Saccharomyces cerevisiae S288C: one gene and its partners. The gene in region 2 interacts genetically with the main gene of each other region. Each region holds a gene or a part of one and is shown on either strand. Other genes may lie near its edges.

Region 1 (7,958 bases), on a different chromosome or scaffold from region 2:
TTGTCTGACAATCTTCTCGTTGGGGCTCGCAACTATCTAGCTAAATTAATTCATTTACAATCAGAGTGACACAAATTTTTTCAGAATTACTGACACCGAAAGCTGCTCCGTTTTTTATAAATAGAGGCCGATACTGGTGAAAAAAACTAGACAAAAGACTGTTTATAATCACATAACTGTACAAAAAAACCCTTATTGGCATAAACACATTCATATACCTATAATATAAAACTAAATTAAAAAGACGCTTCCAAAAATAAGTAAAAAAGCATCAACATTAAAACAATCTAAACCAAAAACATCGAACGGTATTTGCAACATCTTGAGAGTTTCTGGTCTACTTGCTTTTGGATAGAATATCAGTAAAATCAAGCGTTCAAGCAAGTATTGATTGTATTATTTTATAGTTGACCAGGTCTTTAATGATGGCGTATGAGTATAGTAGTGACTTTGATAAGTTGACATTTGGGAACCAGTGTCATTATTGGTTGTATTTATTGGTTGGAATAGATTGTGAACAACGCCATCCAATGAATCTCCAATGTGTTTGTGGATCTTAGCAGAGGCTACAGCAGGACCAATAATGCATCCTGCAAAAATAGCCAATACTAAAAAGTACAAAGAGCAGTACTTCTTGACCATACGCTTACGCAAACGAGTTTGCTTCAGAGAGTAAATTGGGGGACGAATTTGACGAGAGGGCTTTAGCCAGAATAGCATAATCGAGTGGAATTTATCTATTTTTGGGATTATAATGAGTGGCAGTTGACAGATTAAAATCACATGACCTAGAACAAAATCAGCTGCAAATTCTGAAAGCTCAATTACCTTGGCGGTTAATTCTCTACTTGGCTGGGTCCAAGCCATGTAACCCATACCTTTACCATACCACTTACCAGTCCAGAAGGCTGTATTGGCATGATCGTTTTTAAATTCACGAGTCAACATTAACGCTGTCATGCAATGAAAAATGAGTCTTTGACATTGGATACAAGTAACGACTCCGATTAACATTCTAACAAAGTTGAAGCTCTCCAAAACCCACATGACAATGAAAAAGGCAATGTGGACAATAACAGCAACACCGTGGGCAATTCCAGCCATTACAGAACCTGTCTTCTTACAACACATACCAAATAAGGGACCAGAGCAGCATGACATACCCATACAGAAGAATAGAACACCGAGGTTAACGGCGATTGGCGCCAAGGTACAAATGATGATACGTAAAACAGAATTCACCCTATCATCATCAGTAGTCTTGACACCGGTTTGAGCATTAATAAACGTGAAGGCAATAAAACAACCAGCTGCATAAATTGCACAGGGTATGATTTCAGCCATGATCAAATTGGTTCTATGAGCCCTGCTTGCGTCACCAGCAGCTTTCTCAGATTCATCGCCAACCAGTTTACGTTTAAACCCAGTAATACGTGCCCTAGACATCCTCACGTAACCAATCCACGAGTTTCTATGATATTGATTATTACCTCTTGATAACCATCTGATATAATCCCTGTAATCCAAAAAGAAATCTTCCCAAGCAAACTGATGTGGATTGAAAACGAAAGGCGCAAAAATTAATGAAGATAGAGAGGCCCAAAACCACAGTAGTGGAGCTTGCCAATGTGCGACAGTACCGAACAGCAACATTAACATTGATCTTGCACCCATGTAGATAGCAGATCCTGCAAATCTTGAATACAAAATTGAAAATGGTATACGAGAAGTTGCAAAACCACGACCGGTGGATATATAACGAGCACCACCAATTGCTAAATCACTTAATAACGCAGAAGAGTAGATTTGGCCCGCAAACACTTCGAACATAGGGGATAATGATAATAGGTGGCAGAAAAATCTTTGGGTGGCTTTCCATAGACCACGTTCAATTAGTTCTTGAACAACAATAGGAACGAAGGCAATCCAGAAAACAATGAAAATAGACAATGTATAACGTCTCACCCAATCAACCGCAGGTTGGAAGTTGTAACACCCAATTGGAACCAAAACATCTGTTTTTGGTTTGTTCCTATCGTAAATACACATAATAGATTCATGGGCCAAGGAAGATAAATTCACCAAAGTCAACATAAACATTTGCAAAGATAATTGAATGAACAAGTTGTTCAAATGGAAACCAGGATGGGCATAATAGAATGTTAGGAAACGGTCCACTGGTAATTGGGTACCCAGATAATAATATTCACGAGATAACATTTGTTCACCCATACCAGCACCAATCTTAGTAGTGAAATTTAGAATTGTACCGAAACCCAAATCTCTACCTTTACCACATTGATAATACTCACAATGCTTGATACGACCACCACGAAGCATAGCATTCATACCAGCATAAATATCTTCGTTTAAATGCAAACCCTTTTGTGCTTTGGAAACACCACCTCTAGTGGTCATAAACGTAGCATTAATGAAATCCGGATGACCATAATGCAATTTACCACCAATTTGAGATAAAGTACGCGCAAATAATGTACCAAAAGTTTGTTCTTTACCAGCGGCCACATCACCCAGCACACCAGAGTTTTCAGAGAAAATGTATTCTCTGGCACCAACAATAGCAACAGGATGATTAGTTGTTTGCTCCTCATACCTTAAACCGGGAGCATATGGATTAACTTGTTCAACGTTCAATTCCTCAAATTCAGCCAATACAGATCTAATCTTCAGACATTCTTCCAAGTAGTTATCTTGGTTGGCATCAATTAATTGAATGTATTCACCTCTGTAAAAAATCAAAGCATGGTTTTGGTTATCAGATTTACCGTCACCAAGAATTGGGTTACCAGATAATTGAACTCTAAACTTGGGACGTCTACGACCATTATCTAGAATTTCACAATGTCCATCAATCAAAGCGGAATAGATTCTTGGCTCCTCACCTTCAGTCAAAGGTGGCTCTTCATCCAAGTAGGCAATTTGTAAGTCTGGGTAAGCTCTCAACAAAAACTCAGCATTTTCCAGTTCATGTGGTTTGAATTTAGCCAATCTCTGCATAGAGACCAAAAATTTAAACTTTCTTCTTGCCATCTTTTCTAGCTCTCTTTCTAAGCCTTCAGCATTACCACCAAACATTTGAACAATTTCAGGATTTTCCACACGATACAGTAATTTGATAGCTCTTGAATAATTCATGAACCCTGAAATGGTACGATATAGAGTCTGCGACCTCAAAGAAGCCCAAATTCTCGTACGAAGTGTATATTCTGGAGCAGCAGATTTAAAACCAATACAATAAAATGGCAAATCATCGATTTGAGATTTCAAAGCATCTTCCTTTTCAGCTTCATTTTCATTTCCTTCATAGGCAGCGGTTTCTTCAGCCAAAATCTTAGTATCCTTAACAAAACATTCCCATTCAACGGGATGTAATTGTTTTAGATATTCTAAAAGAGTAACTCTAGAAAATTGGTCATCTTCACGAATAATTTCTCTTAATGACAGCAGAATTCTTTCCGCGTAGTGAGGAGTCAATACTGTGAACGTTGGCATGTTATCAACTGGAAGTGGTTCGGGAATTGGAGTAGACAAAGATTGAGCAAAGAAAGAAATACGACGCTCAGCCTCTGAATCCCTAGGGAAAAATTCAGTCTCAAAATTATTGTCATCTTGAGAAACAAAGAAGGTAGGAGCTCTCAAAGTTCTTTTACCTTCGATTTCAGATGGAACTTGATGATATAGTAATTTTTGTACATGGTCGATGGCTAAGAGATGTTCTCTGTACATTGAAATAATGATGGCATTCCATACTTGAGAAATCAAAACCTTTGGTTTGTATTTAATTTCCATATCAGTAGTAGCCAAAATCTTGGAGTATATTCTTTTTGGCAATCTTGTGAAGATATTTCTCCATGGTGTTAAGATAGAAATACCTAAATAGAAAGATTTCCCAACAGAGAAAATGGTATTCACAATAATGTACCATAAGTAGGTATCCAAGAAGAAAAGAATGAAGTCGGTAGCGATAACCAAACCTAAGACAATCTTGGGTTGCACTTTACAAAGTACCGCACCCCACCAGTATTCACCTGTACACCTCATTGCAGTGGTGGACAAAATTCTAATTGGATCTCTCAAAGATAAAACTAAAAAGTAGTACGATTCTGAATATTTGGCAGCAAAAACAGTAACCCAAACTAAATAGGACATCCATCTATCTAACCCATGTAGAGGGGCAAATGCAGCAGTGAATGTTTGAGATGCAACATAACGCCTTGTAGATTTTTTCATATATGACGTAAACAACCCCCCCAATGGCATAATGGAGAAGAATATGATGGTAGCAACCGCAACAAAGAACATAACAGCAGCAACAACGTGTGCAGCAGTGGAGTAGACTGTATCTTTGTCGTAAGCAAAAACAAAAATAATAGGACCCAAATTAATACCAAAGATGATGCATAAAAACCAGAATCTACGAGATAGATGTTGAGCACCAGCCCATTTTCTTGGAACGAATGACCATTCACACAAAGTAGCGACAATTTGAATCAAACTTGCGACAGTACCACCTAATGCGCAAGATGCCCACTTGTAAGCAGCCAAAGGTTGGTTGTCGACCAATTGTTGATAGTTATGAGTGTAAAATGTTGGTGAATTATATGCAAAGTACATCCAAAAAATGGAGATATGCATAACCCAAATACGGTTGAAGTTGGTGACCAAATGTAACCAAGTACGGGTCTCTTTATATGTTTTGAAGAATACATCATCCCAGACGACATCGCCTAATCTTAAATAACGTTCTTCCAATGGGAGTTCTATCAATTTTGTTCCATCTTCAAGAACAATCTTTGCAATACCTTCTGGATACCAGAACAATTGGTTTAAATCATCATAACCGACAATTTTGTTATGATCTCTTTCACGCTTGACAAAACGACCATCAACAATTTCATAAACTTGATTTCTGATGAAATGATAAATTGGCGTAATGACTCTATTCAAGAAATCACCTTCTGGCATAGGTTCTTGGCGTTGTTGGCAAAGAGGGGAATCCAAGTAGTCAAGAGCACACTTGTAGATAAAACATAAACATTCAGCAGTGAATCTGACTTGATTAGCTTCACCCCAACATAACAGATATAAGGCGATATGACGAACTCTTTCCAGGGGAGACAACTGGTTCATCTTGGCCTTCCATCTAAAATCAGCAGCCTCTAGGGAGTTGTCGCCTTCAATTTTGTTTAAAGTTTCTTCAGTGTCTTCGGGATTGGCCTCTTCCATTGCTTTCTTGTTTTTCTTCTTAGCTTTTCTTGCCTTCCTTGAGAGTTTTCCAAGACTCATATTTCTAAAACCAATTTCATCATCCATATCTAACTGAGCAGCAAAATACCATTTTTTATAGTTAGCAGTATCGCCACCAATGTAGTCGGCATGTAAAGATAGTAAAGCTTGATCAGGAGACATTCTCGAGGACCTAGAGTCCAAGAGAACCATAAAATGATCAAACATATTTCTCATGGAGTCTCTTTGGAACCCGAGTCTGTTGGTCAAATCAATAAAGATATCTTCGATTTGCTCGATCGAAACGGGAGATTGAGAGTCAGCAGTCCAAGCGGGATAAGGTTCATTTGGCAAAGCCATAGCGATAGCATTTGGGTCATAATTACCGTAAATTGGAGTCGAGGTACCCGACGAATTTGGTTCTCCATAACTCATTTGAGAAGCGGTATACTGACCACCATAGCTATCATATCCAGGTGTTCCAGGAGGGCCGTAACTGCTAAAATCCGAGAAGTTTTCACCGTCTTGAGCAGCCATATTTGGCGGTTGACCATAGTATTCACCGTTTGTGTAGTCTTGGTCGTAAGACTCGTTTGGTGGTTGTTGACCATACATATCAGCTTCAGTACCAGCAGCGACATTTGGATCGTAGTAACCATCAGCTTGTGAAGGATACAAAGGCTGGCCATATTGGTCATAGTCTTGTTCCTGACTTTGCCCGTTACCTGGTCCCTGGGTATAGTCCGTTTGGCCCTGATAAGGTTGTTGATCAGTGTTCATGGTCTGACCGTTGTATGAAAGACTTGATTTCAGCTACTTGCTTATTTTAATTTTTTTGAGCGAACGTAAGAGAGGTTAATGTCCTCTAACTATCAGTCCAATGACAGTATTTTCTCCTTCTCACAAACTACAATAAATATCTACCAATCTCTTTTCGAATAAGGACTAATGATATACGCTAGTTCCTGTTTGGTAAATGAAGGCTAGTGTTCGAGAATGGAGAACTTCGTAGTCGGTTAAAACAGCTGTAGTGTTCTGGCCTTCTTAGAAAGAATAAATAGTTCAGGAGTAAAATCAAAATATCTTTTAATATAAACTAAGACAAAGAAAGAAACAAGAATTTTGATCTGAAAAAATCGAAAAAAAGGAACGAATGGATCGATGAAAATTTTCGAGACTAGGTTATAATTATTTCTTTTTTTAGATTTGTGCGCGTAAAAAACGGAACCAGAAGAAGCCAAAAAAAAAAGAAATTCTTCCTGTGCTTCATCAAAACGCGAAAATTCGTCGCCCAGTAAGTGAGACTATTTCCTATAATAGAAATCCAAGTGGCAAAAGCGTTAGACGCAGTACAAGGACGCGTTAAGAAAAATTTCGAGAGAGTCGCCGATAGTAGGATTAGAGTTTCATAACGCGTTACACGGAAGGAGAGCAGTAAGGAGGGCCCGATACAGAAAAAAAAATGGCGCTTGTTACAGATTCTGATTGCCCGTACATGACATGGTCTTTCTTTTCTTTTTCGTTAATATTTCTGCTTTTTCATGTGTGTCGAAAATAGTTAGCTCGATAAGATACTGTGATAGGCAAAAAGAAAGTTTGTCCTTCCGCATCGGTGCTGTCCCTCCTTAGCTGAGGGTTCGGTGTACCTGTGCTTTTTCGGAACCAGTTCTTGGCCCGCTAAAAATCGCTACGTCCATCCCTTTGTCTTAGTCAAGCACGAAGGAATTCGAAGTTTATCGTAATTTTGCTTTGTTCTGGTCCCTTGGTTTTCTCTTTTTGCATAAATCTGGCAGTATCGTAAAATGTGATTTGCACAAACCAATGCACAGAGGAGAGTTGAAGTACAGATAGAATGCGTTTACGACATTACTTAGGCCTTTCCAGGGCGCGAAAAGACAAAATATGGATTGCCCTTGCTAATTGTGTAGATGTTTGCATGCCGCGGTTTTATCGCTGCGTCACATATGGGATTTTGATTGATTCAAAGCCTTGATATTATCAATAAATGGTTCAATCACATCCCATTTATTGAATTGGAGGCCTTCTTCGTCCTCTTCTGTACTTGAAGTGATTGATTCAGATTCTGCGTTTGAGGACTCTCTTTGTTGGCTTTGCTTCATATCTTGAACAGTTCCGTTGCACCAAGCGCTCAAGAGTTGTTGCCGTTTTCCTTCATTGTTCTTTAACCAGAGTTGAATAATTTCATCAATTCCCAAAAATAACTGCGGAATCTGGTGCTCAAAGACAATTTTTATGAGAATTTCAATAAATGACAAAAATACTTCATCGGAAAATTTTTCTAAAAAATTGACAGAATACATGAACTTAACGATCAAGATAAAGCATTTTTGAATCTCTAAAACAATCGTTGAAAATACTCTACTGAAAAGAACGTAGTTGATAATAGTGTTTCTATTGTGGCATTGATCTTGTTCTTTTAGCTCGATTCCGAATTTGAAAGTTTCCAAAATAGAATTGGAAAAATGCTTCAAACGGCACATTATGTCCACTATATTTGTGGAGGGATACTGACCCTTTAGCTTGCAAATTATGTACTTGTCATTGTAGCATTTCAAATCTGCATCAAACATTTGTAATAAGTTTATGTTCTTTATCAACGTTTCGACCCAAATATCGTGCACAATGAACTCAATTGTGTTAATGAAAGTAGATTTTTCGAAAGCCTCATCAGAAGAGTCGGCCAAGAGTTC
Region 2 (7,686 bases):
CATTCTCAAAACTGTGTATGACATATAGAATGCCATCACTGTGGGAGTCAAGAACACTAGAATAATAAATAATAATGTTCCCAATAGCAATTGATCTAGTTGAAAATAGTTATGGTCAATCCTATTTCGTAAAACGTTCCTCTTTTTACCGCAGAACAGGTTAAAAAGACTAGCCATAATATTCAACTGACAATGGTACAGTTTACTGCTGATACGATAAAAAACATATATTGGAAAACTTAAAATTGCAAAAAAATCAATCGCTAGGGAAACAGCAAAAGAAAAGCCAACGAGAAACATCATATATATCGTTAACGTGAGCAAAGATGATAGGGTTTTCGGATCAATGAGTCTTTTTATGAATGTGGTATAAGAAAATTCTATCACCCAAAGAAATAATTCGCTCAAAAAGTTCGCAAGTTCTGCATTTAATTTGATGCCAAGGGGGTTATTTGCTAACGTTTCAGTTATTGTTTTTAATGAATCATATAAAAAAAACTTCAATACTCTATGGGATGCCGACACCAAGAAATCTCGATTCTCAATAAGTATGGCCCCCAATATTAAACCAAATGAAATGTCATTAATAATAAGCCAAATTGTATTATACAATAAAATATAATCGGGATAGAATTTAGAAGGCATATATGAATGTGAGAATTGACTATTAGAATTATCTTTTTCCACCATAGAGCCAACATTCTGTATGTTATCCTTCTTATTAATACGCTCATACTGTACTGGGAAATAGCAAATTTGTTGACAACGAAGATCGATTTGCTGGACAAATGCCGAGTAATTTACCAACTGAAAGTGCGAATAATTTAATAACGAGGATACGAGACTAGCAATAGAGCAGATCACAAAAGTCAAATAAAAACCAATTTTTGCGACCATTTTATAAATACAAGTAGATGAACACCAAGCTGCGACACTATTAAGCATAGTACCCCTCAAATTTTCCTGTGATGTTTGAATAAACGGGTAAAGCTCATTTAATGCTTTACAATATGCGGGGAATAGATTAATGATGTTCAAAGTTTCACTCAATTTCTTATTATCTCTCTTGTATCTTGGATGTTGCTCTAATTTAGAATAGTTCAGAGTTTCACCCACACTACTATGAAGACCAACTTCTTTTTCTGGTATGATGAGCGAGATGGGATCAGAAGAATAGAATTGCATAAATTTCAGCTTGGGTATTCTAAAATGGACATTACAGGGATCAGCAACTTTGTAGTTCCAACCCTCCGCTCCATTGTTCTTAGTAGCTACCACTGAATAAGGGGGCCGTATGCTTACTTCTTCTAAATACTGAGGTTCGCAAACACCTAAGACAACAAAATGCGTCTTCTCAAATGAAATTGCCAAAGCTACCTGAGGTCCTTGAGCTGCGGAATTCTCGAACAAGGATTCGTATGGCCAGAAAATGTAATTTGGCATGTCATTTAACTGTATAAAACCGCCCCTGAATTCGAAGGTTCCTGTTCACAGAGGAATTTTCATTCTTTTTGGTATTATGTTCTGGTAGGTTTTTTTCATATTCTACATTTCGGCATTCTCACTGAAAATAAATATAGATGAGATAGAAGATCATGAATCAATGGTTGGTGACAAGCTAACATAAGGAAAATCAAAATACACGGCATTACTAAATAGAATATATTGTTAGTACTATGCAGGGGAGAAAAAGGACGCTTACGGAACCATTTGAGCCAAATACCAATCCATTTGGGGACAATGCAGCAGTAATGACGGAAAATGTTGAGGATAACAGCGAAACAGATGGTAACCGTCTAGAATCAAAACCACAAGCTTTGGTCCCACCAGCTTTAAATATCGTGCCACCAGAGAGCAGCATCCACAGTACTGAAGAAAAAAAAGGTGACGAGTACAATGGAAATGATAAAGATAGCTCCTTAATCTCCAACATATTTCGTACTCGTGTCGGAAGGAGTAGTCATGAAAACTTGAGCAGGCCTAAACTCTCACTTAAAACAGCATCATTTGGTGCCGCTGAATCTTCCCGGCGTAATGTTTCACCCTCTACAAAATCTGCCAAGTCTAGTTCGCAGTATATTGATTTAAATGATGAAAGGCTACGCAGGCGTAGCTTCAGTAGTTATAGCCGATCATCTAGTAGGCGTGTTTCTAATTCACCAAGCTCAACGGATAGGCCTCCACGGTCGGCAAAGGTTTTATCGCTAATTGCCGCTGATGATATGGATGATTTTGAAGATTTGCAAAAGGGATTTAAAAGTGCAATAGACGAAGAGGGCCTGACATGGCTACCCCAATTAAAATCAGAAAAAAGCCGTCCTGTATCAGACGTTGGAGAAGATAGAGGAGAAGGAGAACAAGAATCTATACCTGACGTTCATACACCCAATGTAGGAGCAAGCGCTACTCCAGGATCAATTCATCTAACACCCGAACCCGCGCAGAATGGTTCGGTATCTGAGGGTCTAGAAGGCTCTATTAATAATTCAAGAAAGAAACCCAGTCCAAAGTTTTTTCATCATTTATCACCGCAAAAAGAAGATAAAGACCAAACAGAAGTTATTGAGTATGCTGAAGACATTCTAGATTTTGAAACCCTTCAAAGAAAACTGGAATCAAGGCCCTTTGTGCTTTATGGACATTCTCTTGGGGTTTTCTCGCCTACGAATCCGCTAAGAATAAAAATTGCTCGTTTTTTGTTGCATAGGCGGTATTCGTTACTTTACAACACTTTGTTAACATTTTATGCCATTCTCCTGGCGATAAGGACATATAACCCTCACAATGTGGTTTTTTTATACCGTTTCTCTAACTGGACCGACTATTTCATTTTTATTTTATCAGCTTGCTTTACAGGCAATGATATTGCTAAAATAATTGCGTTTGGATTTTGGGACGATTCTGAAATGTTTAAAGCCTATGGACGTGAGTATAAATCAATCTTACAGAGATCTGGAATTATGAAACTATACATATATCTGAGAGAAAAGTATGGTAGAAAGCTAATAGATTTCATTATTCCATTTAGGATCATATCGCCGGGAGAAGAGACAAAATATCAACGAAGTTCGTTGAGTACTTCCCTGACGAAACCTTATGGGGCAAAGGAAAATCAGAGGCCTTTTGGCACCCCAAGAGCCTTTGCGAGATCATCGTGGAATAGAATAGATCTGGTATCTTCTGTCAGTTTTTGGCTAGGTATGTTTTTATCCATAAAAAGTTATGATACAAAAACAGGCATAAGAATATTCAAGCCCCTTGCTATATTAAGGATTCTTCGACTTGTAAACGTGGATACTGGTATGCCCTCAATTCTAAGGGGATTGAAATATGGTATCCCACAGTTGGTAAATGTTAGTTCAATGCTAGTTTACTTTTGGATTTTCTTTGGGATTTTGGGAGTACAGATTTTTCAGGGCTCTTTTCGAAGACAATGTGTATGGTTTAACCCTGAAGATCCTACCGATACTTACCAGTACGATATGCAATTCTGTGGTGGTTACCTAGATCCAGTAACAAAACGAAAACAAAATTATATCTATGAAGACGGATCAGAAGGTTCTGTTTCAAAAGGCTTTCTTTGCCCACAATATTCGAAATGTGTTTCCAATGCCAACCCCTACAACGGCAGAATTAGTTTTGATAATATTGTTAATTCCATGGAGCTCGTTTTTGTCATTATGAGTGCGAATACTTTTACTGACTTAATGTACTATACGATGGATTCGGATGAAATGGCTGCCTGTTTGTTTTTTATTGTTTGCATCTTTGTTTTAACTATCTGGCTGCTAAATCTACTCATTGCAGTGTTGGTATCATCTTTTGAAATAGCCAATGAGGAGTACAAAAAGAAAAAGTTCATATATGGTTCTAGAAAGACAGGTTATGTTGCTCGCATAGTAACAGGCTACTGGAAATATTTTAAGCTTAAGGCGAATCAGACAAAATTCCCAAATTGGTCCCAAAAAGGACTAGCTATTTATTCCCACGTTGAGTTTATCTTTGTCATACTTATTATTTGCGATATAGGTATGCGCGCCTCTGTTAAAGTATCGACTTCGGCAAACTGTAACAATATCCTTCTAAAAACTGACAGGGGAATTTCGATTGTTCTCTTCATCGAATCACTGGCAAGGTTAGTATTATATCTGCCCAATATGTGGAAGTTTTTAACAAAACCTAGTTACGTTTACGATTTTATTATATCAATTATTACTCTGGTTATTAGTTGCCTGGCTGTTGAAGGGGTTCTAGGACATATGTATGCCTGGCTATCCATATTCCACATATCCAGATTTTACAGGGTGATTATTTCTTTCAATTTAACAAAAAAACTATGGAAACAAATATTGAGTAATGGTGTTATGATTTGGAACTTATCGTCTTTTTACTTTTTTTTCACCTTTTTGGTTGCTATAATCATGGCTGTGTATTTCGAAGGCGTGATTCCTCCAGAAGAAATGGCAGACCAGCCATTTGGAATGTATTCACTACCGAATTCATTTCTTTCTTTGTTTATAATAGGTTCAACTGAAAATTGGACGGATATCCTATATGCCCTCCAAAAACACTCACCAAACATCTCCTCAACTTTTTTTTGCTCAGTATTTTTTATTATATGGTTTCTACTATCCAACTCAGTGATCTTGAACATTTTCATTGCCCTAATATCAGAAAGCATGGAAGTGAAAGAAGAAGAAAAACGACCACAGCAAATTAAGCATTATCTTAAGTTCGTCTATCCTCAGAAAATACAAGAATATACACACGCTAGTTTGGTTGCGAGAATTCGTAAAAAATTCTTTGGAGGTCATAGGAACGAAGATACAAGAGATTTTAAGCAATTTCTTATGAGAGGAACCGCGATAATGAACATAGCGCAGAATATGGGGGAGTTGGCCGATGAATTCAAAGAGCCACCTTCAGAAAACCTATTTAAAAAGGGCTTATCAAAGCTCACAATTGGGGTTCCGTCACTAAAAAGGCTGAGAATGTTTGCTAATAATCCATTTTATAAAAATAGTGACGTTGTGTTTACAGAAACGAACGATATAAATGGGAGGACGTATATCTTGGAGTTGAATGAGTACGAGGATGAGAAGCTAGATTATTTAAAAAAGTACCCTTTATTCAATTACTCATATTATTTCTTTTCTCCTCAGCATAGATTTCGAAGGTTCTGTCAACGCTTGGTACCACCAAGCACTGGAAAAAGGACTGATGGATCACGATTTTTCGAGGATAGCACTGATCTATACAATAAAAGGAGCTATTTTCATCATATTGAAAGAGATGTATTTGTATTCATTTTCGCACTTGCCACCATTTTACTAATTGTTTGCTCATGTTATGTTACGCCTCTATATCGTATGCATCACAAGATGGGAACTTGGAATTGGTCCTCGGCGTTAGATTGCGCCTTCATTGGTGCCTTCTCAATTGAATTTATCGTGAAAACAGTAGCTGACGGATTTATATATTCTCCAAATGCTTACCTGAGGAATCCATGGAACTTTATTGATTTTTGTGTCCTAATCTCAATGTGGATTAATTTAATTGCATACCTAAAAAACAATGGAAATTTGTCTAGGATTTTCAAGGGATTGACAGCCCTGAGGGCCCTCAGATGCCTCACGATCAGTAACACAGCTCGTCAAACATTTAACCTAGTTATGTTTGATGGTTTAAATAAAATTTTTGAAGCTGGGTTGATTTCACTCAGTTTGCTATTTCCATTTACAGTTTGGGGCTTAAGCATTTTTAAAGGCCGTTTAGGTACTTGCAATGACGGAAGTTTGGGCCGTGCAGATTGTTACAATGAATATTCAAATTCCGTTTTTCAATGGGATATCATGTCTCCAAGGGTTTACCAGCAACCATATCTTCATTTGGACTCTTTCGCAAGCGCTTTTAGTTCATTATACCAAATCATTTCTTTGGAAGGATGGGTTGATTTGTTGGAAAATATGATGAATAGTTCAGGAATAGGTACACCCGCTACGGTAATGGGTTCAGCAGGGAATGCTTTATTCCTCGTTCTGTTTAATTTTTTAAGTATGGTTTTCATCCTGAACTTGTTTGTTTCATTCATTGTTAACAACCAAGCAAGGACAACAGGAAGCGCTTACTTTACCATTGAGGAAAAGGCGTGGCTGGAATCCCAGAAACTTTTATCTCAGGCCAAGCCAAAAGCTATCCCAAATTTAATTGAGTTATCAAGAGTTAGGCAATTTTTCTATCAACTTGCAGTGGAGAAAAAAAATTTCTACTACGCATCGTTTCTTCAGGTAGTACTTTATTTGCACATAATCATGCTCCTGAGTCGAAGCTACAATCCAGGAAACTTGATAGGTTATCAAGGTGTTTATTTTATGTTTTCCACTAGTGTTTTTTTAATTCAAGAGGCACTTCACATGTGCGGTGAAGGACCAAGATTATATTTTAGGCAAAAATGGAACAGCATACGACTCAGTATCATAATTATAGCCTTTATTATGAACGCTGTAGCATTCCACGTTCCAGCCTCTCACTATTGGTTCCACAATATAAAGGGGTTTTTCCTGTTAGTGATATTTTTGTTTATTATTCCTCAAAATGACACACTAACTGAACTATTAGAAACCGCAATGGCAAGCTTACCGCCTATTCTATCATTGACCTACACTTGGGGGGTTTTATTTTTAGTATATGCTATTGCTTTGAATCAAATCTTCGGCCTAACAAGGTTAGGGAGTAATACGACCGATAACATAAATTTTAGAACTGTAATCAAATCCATGATTGTTCTGTTTAGATGTAGTTTTGGTGAGGGCTGGAATTATATCATGGCCGACCTAACTGTGTCAGAACCTTATTGCTCCTCTGATGATAATTCAACCTATACGGACTGTGGATCAGAGACATATGCCTATTTGTTATTAATGTCGTGGAATATTATTTCCATGTATATTTTTGTGAATATGTTTGTTTCGTTGATTATTGGTAATTTCAGTTATGTTTACCGTAGCGGTGGATCTCGCTCTGGCATCAACAGATCGGAGATAAAAAAATACATTGAAGCTTGGTCCAAATTTGATACTGATGGAACTGGCGAGCTTGAGCTGTCCTACCTCCCAAGAATAATGCATTCATTTGACGGTCCTCTTTCATTTAAAATTTGGGAAGGTAGATTGACAATAAAAAGTCTAGTCGAGAACTACATGGAGGTTAACCCAGATGATCCATATGACGTCAAAATAGACCTGATCGGACTGAACAAAGAGCTGAATACGATTGATAAAGCAAAGATCATACAGAGGAAGTTACAGTACAGAAGATTTGTACAAAGCATTCACTATACGAATGCTTATAATGGATGTATCAGATTCTCGGATTTGTTATTACAAATACCTCTCTATACAGCTTATTCTGCAAGGGAATGTCTAGGTATTGATCAATATGTCCATCATCTATATATCCTGGGTAAAGTGGACAAGTACTTAGAAAATCAAAGAAACTTCGATGTATTGGAGATGGTGGTAACAAGATGGAAATTTCATTGCAGGATGAAACGTACCATTGAACCCGAATGGGATGTTAAAGATCCCACAGTATCGTCTCACATTTCGAATATAAACGTAAATCTGGAACCTGCTCCAGGAATTTTAGAAAGAGAACCTATTGCGACACCTAGAATGGACTACGGTG
Region 3 (2,660 bases), on a different chromosome or scaffold from region 2:
CTACAGAAATACATCATTTTACAACACCTTCGGCTTTTTCTTAGAGAAGTCCACTGGCAGTTTTGTTGATCCCGTTATCACTAAGGAATTCCCCATTATCATTGGATTTATGTTATTTAACGACTTATTAACTCCACTCGAATGTGCCATGCAATTCGTGATGAGTTTAATTTCCAGAACTCATGAATATCAAGCTGATGCTTATGCTAAAAAATTGGGCTACAAGCAAAATCTATGTAGGGCTCTAATTGATCTACAAATCAAAAACCTTTCCACCATGAATGTAGATCCTCTGTATTCTAGCTATCATTATTCCCATCCAACTCTAGCTGAAAGATTGACCGCTCTAGACTATGTTAGTGAAAAGAAGAAAAACTAATCTATAGAGTACACATATTAGCATGTACCGTTAAATTCAGCTTCGTTATGTCTATATCTACATACATACACAGGTATCTACTATAAGAATAAAGGAAAGAAAAAATAAACGATTAAACATTTTATTTTTTTGCATCGCTATCATCATTACCTTTCTCATTGTTATCATCATTATCTTTCCCATCTTCATCGTCATTTTCTTCATCATTGATTATTTCAATGATTTCTGTGGTTTCAGTCTTCACGGTAAATGGTTGGGGTTCTTCAATATCCTCATCATTAACCATGAATTGGTTCAATCTTTTGAACTCTTCATTTTTCTCCTCCCTAATGGCATTATACAAAAGAAAATTTATCCAAACTTCTGCAAAACAGTAAATAAAAACAGAGTTATTGTGAACGTAAAAGTTTGACTCCCAAAGGTACGAGATACTTGTCAAAATAAAAAAAATTAGTAATCTAACTGGCACAACAGATTGGAAGTATTTAACATTGTTTTCTAACAGGGGAATTAGATCATGAACACCGTTAAGAGTAAACAGAAGAGCGAAAAGACCCAATTGACCACTATAACGTGACAGTGTTAACTGCGGTAAATTCATCGCTTGCGTTAAGACTATGAAATATGTATTTTGCAAAATAGAATTAACGTTCTTTAAACAAAAGAAGGCGATCGTGAATAAAAATGCTACTCTGAAAAAAGCAATATTGGTGGAGTTCAAGGCTTGAGCCATTTTCTTAGAATTTATTCTTTACTTTTGCTGAATGCGATACTCTATTATGTTGTAAATTGTTACACTACCATTCAATTGTCTCTCTTTAAAGATTGATCGACATTATTTTCTTTACTTTTTTGGTGTTTTCGCGCTAAAAGTGGCGTGCTAAATGCCAAGTATTATTCTAAAAAATCATTACGCCATACACAAATATTGAAGACTATCTATCTAACTTAACACCAACTTGCTTTATTAAAGAGTCAATATCCTTCAAAGACTTAGTGAAATACAATTCATCGTCAATATAAGGTTCTTCACCGTCGCTATTGTTCAAGTTTTGTATTGATTTTAAGTAATCCTGCGTACACAGGATACTCACTTTACTGTCCGTCGTGGATAGTTCATTCCACTGCCTAATACTTAAATGGTTTTTCTTGTGTCTTTTATACGTTCTAATTGAATCATAGTTATTCTTTCGCAATACAAAGGCTATTGAACATATAGTCTTACATTGGGAACAAAATATATCGTATTCCTCATCTTCATCGTTTGGATCAGTATGCACCTCCAAAAGAGTTGTCCGTGGTACAATGGCCTGAATTTTCCGTATGCGTTTTAATTCAGTATTATAAAAGACGATCAATGAAGAGTAACATTGCCTAACAAAAGCATCATTGAACAATAGAGTATCTTTATTGTACTTGTCCAAAACATTGATCATTAAATCAAACATATCAAAAACACATGCTTTCTGAGTTAATTTATAATCCGTAATCGCACCAAATCCATATGGTAGCCAGAAATCTATAGTAAAATTGACAGCTTCATTAAAATTATAACCTGTATTAAAACCAGCATGGTAACATTTAGGAAACGTGATAATATATTCGTTGGGCTTTTGCACAGCTTTGTACACAGGAATACCTGATTTCTTGAAATTTGGATCGTACGGAGATATTAAAGTCACTAGCTGATGCAGTAGGTCTGGTTGTTTGATAAATAAGTCTGGTGACATATCATTTAATAGATCGTTGAATTTCGTACATCCCGATTCGGGAATGCTGTACCAGACCTTAGGGTCACCTTCATGTTGATAGTTAGCACTTAGGGTATACTGATCTTCCATATGCCAACAAAATGTGGAAAATAAGGAGCCTATGTAAATCCAAGGAATAGTCATGCCAGAAATATTTCTTTTAAATAACGGTAATAGCGAATTATGAGCCATAGGCAAGTTAGTTAAATTCATAGGATGATCGCAATATTTGAGGTAGTCTATCAATTCGTCCCCATTTATATTTTTGGGTATAAATTCTCTCGTCGGAAAGCCGGTAATTTGACCTGGCAATTCGTTATGTATGTCAGCACCGTATTTAACTGTCGTTAATGAACTGCGACGATTCTTGGTCACTAAGCTCCAAAACATCTCTTCCAACTCATCTATAGACAGTTTTCGTGCTGGTAATAACCTTGAATTTTGACGTTTACAATATTCTTGAAACTCTGGTAGAGAATAGTCATGCGTGTCCTGAGTGAATCCGTAATATCCGTTTCCGACGATACAAG
Region 4 (4,903 bases), on a different chromosome or scaffold from region 2:
AAGTTGACATGGCCTTCACTGACTTTATTACCGATCAAAACACGATCGTCATCCACCAAAAATGTTTTTCTTTTCCTTTTCATTTCTCTTTTATGCAGCAAAGATTGTCTCATCTTCTTAATTTCTGCCGTTGCAGACTCTGATCTTTTCAGACCCGTAGCAGCGGTAGTAGTAGTAGTATTATTATTAACAGCAGCAGCATTAGCAGCGTGATTATGGTTGGTGCCACGACTGTGTTGATAGTAGTGGTCATTCTCTGGCGGCAAAGAAGTGGTTGATTTGGATATCATATGATATTGCTTTGACTTTTGAGAAGGTTGTGGAAGTGGGTGAAGAGGCAAAGAAGTCATTGAGTGACTAATTTTAGTAGCAGAATTTGGTTTCATGCTGGTATCTCCATTGGCCAATTTTATTACATCTGAATCATCCATAGGTAGAATTTGAGAATGCTTGGAAGCGTGAAAGGGAATATTGGGCAGGTTTGAATCCTGAGTATTTCTTCTTTGCTTAATTGTCGTGGAAGTTGCTGTTACTGCCGATATTCTGGAAGATCGCCTCGAAACGCGCTTGTTTAGTAAAATATGATCGTCATTTAAGTCTTGTATATACGAATCTGTGTGAACAAGACTGGAATTGTCCAAATCCAAACAATTATTCGAGTTTAACGAGGGTGTTGTTATTTTCTTCGACTCCTTACCTTCGGGAAAACTATATTTCTGCATTTCCTTGTTACTAGTGCTATTTGGTCGGGGAGAAGTTATGGTGTTTGGATGATCATCATCCGTATTATTATTGCTGTTGTCATGCAAAGGATCAATTGATATTGAGTAGTTTCTCTTCACCAGCCTCGAATTATTTATTGTTGGGTTTAACTCTTCAATAGAGGTCGGAGTGGAAGACTCACCATCTGACAAGCGAGGACTTTCCATGTTTGACTCCGAATTCGATGAAGAATGGTAGCTAGTGTGATTATTGCGATCCTTTTTTATTCGATGGTTCGAATCCGGATTCGAATTCGAATTCGGCACCGAACGGTCTTGATGTCGCTCAATTATTGCAGAGTGCAATAGCGATGGTTCCTGTTCTGTTTTGCGACTGGTGGATGTTGTCAGATGTAGCGGTACAACTGAAGGAGGTTGTGATCGCAAGACTGACATGAGTTAGAAACTATTGATAGGGAAAAGCGATATAGGGCAACTGTCTCGGGGGGTGTAAACAGGTTTCGTACTCTCTTGCTTATGAATGTGCTACTTCTTGTTCCTATTTTTTGTTTCTGTCCTTGTTTTTTCTTTGCTTGTCCCTCCGTATTTGCTTCTTTGTTGTCACGCTTTTGTTATTTCCACCTCTATCTTTCCTCTCTGTCCCATTCCCCATCCATTCCTTTCTTTTTTTTTTTAACCTGTGTTTTGTTTTCCCAGAATGGGCGGCACGTTCTTATGTCCGTAAAAACGGATATACAAAAGCGACACGTCGTCTGAGGTGACACTCCACTCAACCCCACTTGCCCAAAACATGCATTGCTACAAGTAGTAGAGCGCAGTTTTTAAAGTCCATTGGTTGCACACGAAATCACGAGAATAATCACGAGAATAGAATGCACGTTGGATTTCGGGCATCCTATAATTGCCAAGACTGCGCTACTTCTCTTCTGTTTCGGTCCGGGTGACACGTCCGCCGTGCTTCAAGGCGCCTTTTCACCAATGCCAGGCGGAAACTGCCGCCGTCAAAAAGAAAAATGAAAAGAACATAGAGGACAAGGACAAGAGACCAGTGATCGTAAGAAGCGCCCACCTTCGCACAGCGCACAGGAACTAGGACACTACCGCACTCAAACCATTTGCATGGACCTTAACTCACGATGCTAGACAAGGCGCGCTCTCAAAGCAAACACATGGACGAATCTAATGCGGCTGCCTCTCTGCTTTCGATGGAAACAACCGCCAACAATCATCACTATTTGCACAATAAAACATCTCGTGCCACGCTGATGAATAGCAGCCAAGACGGCAAAAAACATGCAGAAGATGAAGTTAGTGATGGAGCTAACTCCCGCCATCCTACAATTTCCAGTGCTAGCATCGAATCTCTCAAGACAACCTACGATGAAAACCCTTTGCTTTCTATTATGAAATCGACATGTGCGCCCAACAACACTCCCGTGCATACTCCGTCTGGTTCGCCGAGTTTGAAAGTCCAAAGTGGCGGAGATATCAAAGACGATCCTAAGGAAAACGATACTACTACTACGACCAATACTACACTTCAAGATCGCCGTGACAGCGATAACGCTGTGCATGCTGCCGCCAGCCCACTCGCGCCTTCCAATACACCTTCGGATCCTAAGTCATTGTGCAATGGCCATGTCGCACAGGCTACAGACCCACAAATTTCCGGTGCTATTCAGCCGCAGTATACTGCAACCAACGAGGATGTTTTCCCTTACTCCTCCACCTCCACTAATAGTAACACTGCCACTACTACTATCGTCGCCGGCGCCAAAAAAAAAATACATTTGCCGCCACCACAAGCTCCAGCGGTTTCTTCCCCCGGTACCACCGCAGCAGGCTCGGGCGCGGGCACGGGCTCGGGCATCCGTTCCCGCACAGGATCGGATTTGCCGCTCATCATTACCAGCGCCAACAAGAACAACGGTAAGACTACCAATTCGCCTATGTCGATACTGAGCAGAAACAACAGTACCAACAACAACGACAATAATTCGATACAAAGCTCAGATTCGAGAGAATCCTCTAATAACAATGAGATTGGCGGGTATTTGCGCGGCGGAACTAAGCGCGGCGGCAGTCCATCTAACGACTCTCAGGTCCAGCATAATGTGCATGATGACCAATGTGCCGTGGGCGTGGCGCCCAGGAACTTCTATTTCAACAAGGATAGAGAGATAACAGACCCAAATGTAAAACTGGACGAGAACGAATCAAAAATCAACATATCGTTCTGGCTAAATTCGAAATACAGAGATGAGGCTTATTCTTTGAATGAATCATCCTCCAACAATGCTAGTTCAAACACGGATACGCCTACAAACTCTCGACATGCGAACACCAGCTCTTCCATTACCAGCAGAAACAATTTCCAGCATTTTAGGTTCAACCAAATACCTTCTCAACCTCCAACTTCCGCATCTTCGTTTACAAGCACAAACAACAACAACCCTCAACGGAACAATATCAATCGCGGTGAAGACCCGTTTGCCACTTCGTCAAGACCTTCTACTGGGTTTTTTTACGGCGATTTGCCGAATCGTAACAATAGAAATAGTCCCTTCCATACAAATGAACAATACATCCCACCACCTCCACCGAAATACATCAATTCTAAATTGGATGGATTGAGATCAAGATTATTGCTCGGTCCGAATTCTGCATCTTCATCTACCAAACTAGACGACGACTTGGGTACAGCAGCAGCAGTGCTATCAAACATGAGATCATCCCCATATAGAACTCATGATAAACCCATTTCCAATGTCAATGACATGAATAACACAAATGCGCTCGGTGTGCCGGCTAGTAGGCCTCATTCGTCATCTTTTCCATCAAAGGGTGTCTTAAGACCAATTCTGTTACGTATCCATAATTCCGAACAACAACCCATTTTCGAAAGCAACAATTCTACAGCTGTTTTTGATGAAGACCAGGACCAAAATCAAGACTTGTCTCCTTACCATTTAAATCTAAACTCTAAAAAGGTTTTAGATCCCACTTTTGAGTCAAGGACAAGGCAAGTTACTTGGAATAAGAATGGTAAGCGAATAGACAGACGCCTTTCTGCTCCAGAACAACAACAGCAACTGGAAGTTCCACCATTGAAAAAATCGAGAAGGTCAGTTGGAAACGCAAGAGTAGCAAGCCAAACCAATAGCGATTATAATTCTCTTGGCGAATCCTCAACTTCGTCAGCTCCATCGTCTCCATCTTTGAAGGCTTCTTCTGGCTTGGCATATACCGCTGATTATCCTAACGCTACTTCGCCGGATTTCGCTAAATCTAAAGGAAAAAATGTCAAGCCTAAGGCAAAATCAAAGGCGAAACAGTCATCAAAGAAAAGACCAAATAATACTACTTCGAAATCAAAAGCAAACAATTCTCAAGAATCGAATAATGCTACTTCCTCAACGTCTCAAGGTACAAGGTCCCGTACTGGTTGCTGGATTTGTAGATTAAGGAAAAAGAAGTGTACCGAGGAAAGACCGCACTGTTTCAACTGTGAAAGGTTGAAATTGGACTGTCACTATGACGCGTTCAAACCAGATTTTGTATCTGATCCAAAGAAAAAACAGATGAAACTGGAGGAAATCAAGAAAAAAACAAAAGAGGCCAAAAGAAGAGCAATGAAAAAAAAATAAAAGCTCACTGAAAAAAAAAAAGAGATATTGTTACTATTATTATTATTATTACTGTCATTAATACTATACTAATAAAGAAAAGGAAAATACGCATAATAATATTTAATTAACAATAATATAACATATATATATATATATATATATGTATGTACTACCATGTAATTTCAAAGACTTTCAAAAGAAGTTATACGTCAATTCTCGTGTACAAATCAGTCAAACTGTAATTCATTCGTACTGATAAGCCAAATTTCTACCTAGTATTCATATGAAGATTTGAAAAACTATGATAAAAAACGAACAATATTAAAACATATTATTCCGACTGTTTCCCCTCATGCTGTCCGTGTTGCTTTGGGCGTCAAAAGGAAATTGCATGTACTTCCCCACATCTTGCTGCATAGGTTGTTGAAACATTTGCCGTTGCGCTTGCGCATATGCTGACGACGGCGCAGATGTCTGGTACTGGTCACCTAGCCACGTTGGATTTGCAAAATTCATTGACTTTAATGAGTAAGCTTCGCTCTGCCATTGTAA

Evidence for each region.
Region 1: mutations in CCH1 (region 2) and FKS1 together harm fitness more than expected from each alone (negative genetic interaction), as found in Saccharomyces cerevisiae (5 studies listed by BioGRID, with this or other methods).
Region 3: mutations in CCH1 (region 2) and ILM1 together harm fitness more than expected from each alone (negative genetic interaction), as found in Saccharomyces cerevisiae (3 studies listed by BioGRID).
Region 4: mutations in CCH1 (region 2) and UME6 together harm fitness more than expected from each alone (negative genetic interaction), as found in Saccharomyces cerevisiae (3 studies listed by BioGRID, with this or other methods).

What each region holds. Positions count from the first base shown.
Region 1 is NC_001144.5:808,066-816,023, reverse strand, and holds FKS1 (1,3-beta-D-glucan synthase), read right to left. Parts: upstream 6,028-7,958; coding exon 397-6,027; downstream 1-396. Other genes in the region: YLR342W-A (uncharacterized protein), read right to left, coding at 41-214; SPO77 (Spo77p), read right to left, coding at 7,206-7,958. UniProt on the Saccharomyces cerevisiae protein: Alternate catalytic subunit of the 1,3-beta-glucan synthase (GS) complex. Synthesizes 1,3-beta-glucan, a major structural component of the yeast cell wall. Involved in cell wall synthesis, maintenance and remodeling.
Region 2 is NC_001139.9:923,020-930,705, forward strand, and holds the start of CCH1 (calcium channel protein CCH1), read left to right. Parts: upstream 1-1,676; coding exon 1,677-7,686. Other genes in the region: GPI1 (phosphatidylinositol N-acetylglucosaminyltransferase), read right to left, coding at 1-1,443. UniProt on the Saccharomyces cerevisiae protein: Voltage-gated, high-affinity calcium channel that functions together with MID1 to mediate calcium entry into cells. Required during conditions of environmental stress.
Region 3 is NC_001142.9:642,990-645,649, forward strand, and holds ILM1 (Ilm1p), read right to left. Parts: upstream 1,113-2,660; coding exon 501-1,112; downstream 1-500. Other genes in the region: STE24 (zinc metalloprotease), read left to right, coding at 1-379; JHD2 (histone demethylase), read right to left, coding at 1,315-2,660.
Region 4 is NC_001136.10:864,478-869,380, reverse strand, and holds UME6 (DNA-binding transcriptional regulator UME6), read left to right. Parts: upstream 1-1,858; coding exon 1,859-4,369; downstream 4,370-4,903. Other genes in the region: MSS4 (1-phosphatidylinositol-4-phosphate 5-kinase), read right to left, coding at 1-1,157; EBS1 (Ebs1p), read right to left, coding at 4,673-4,903. UniProt on the Saccharomyces cerevisiae protein: Component of the RPD3C(L) histone deacetylase complex (HDAC) responsible for the deacetylation of lysine residues on the N-terminal part of the core histones (H2A, H2B, H3 and H4).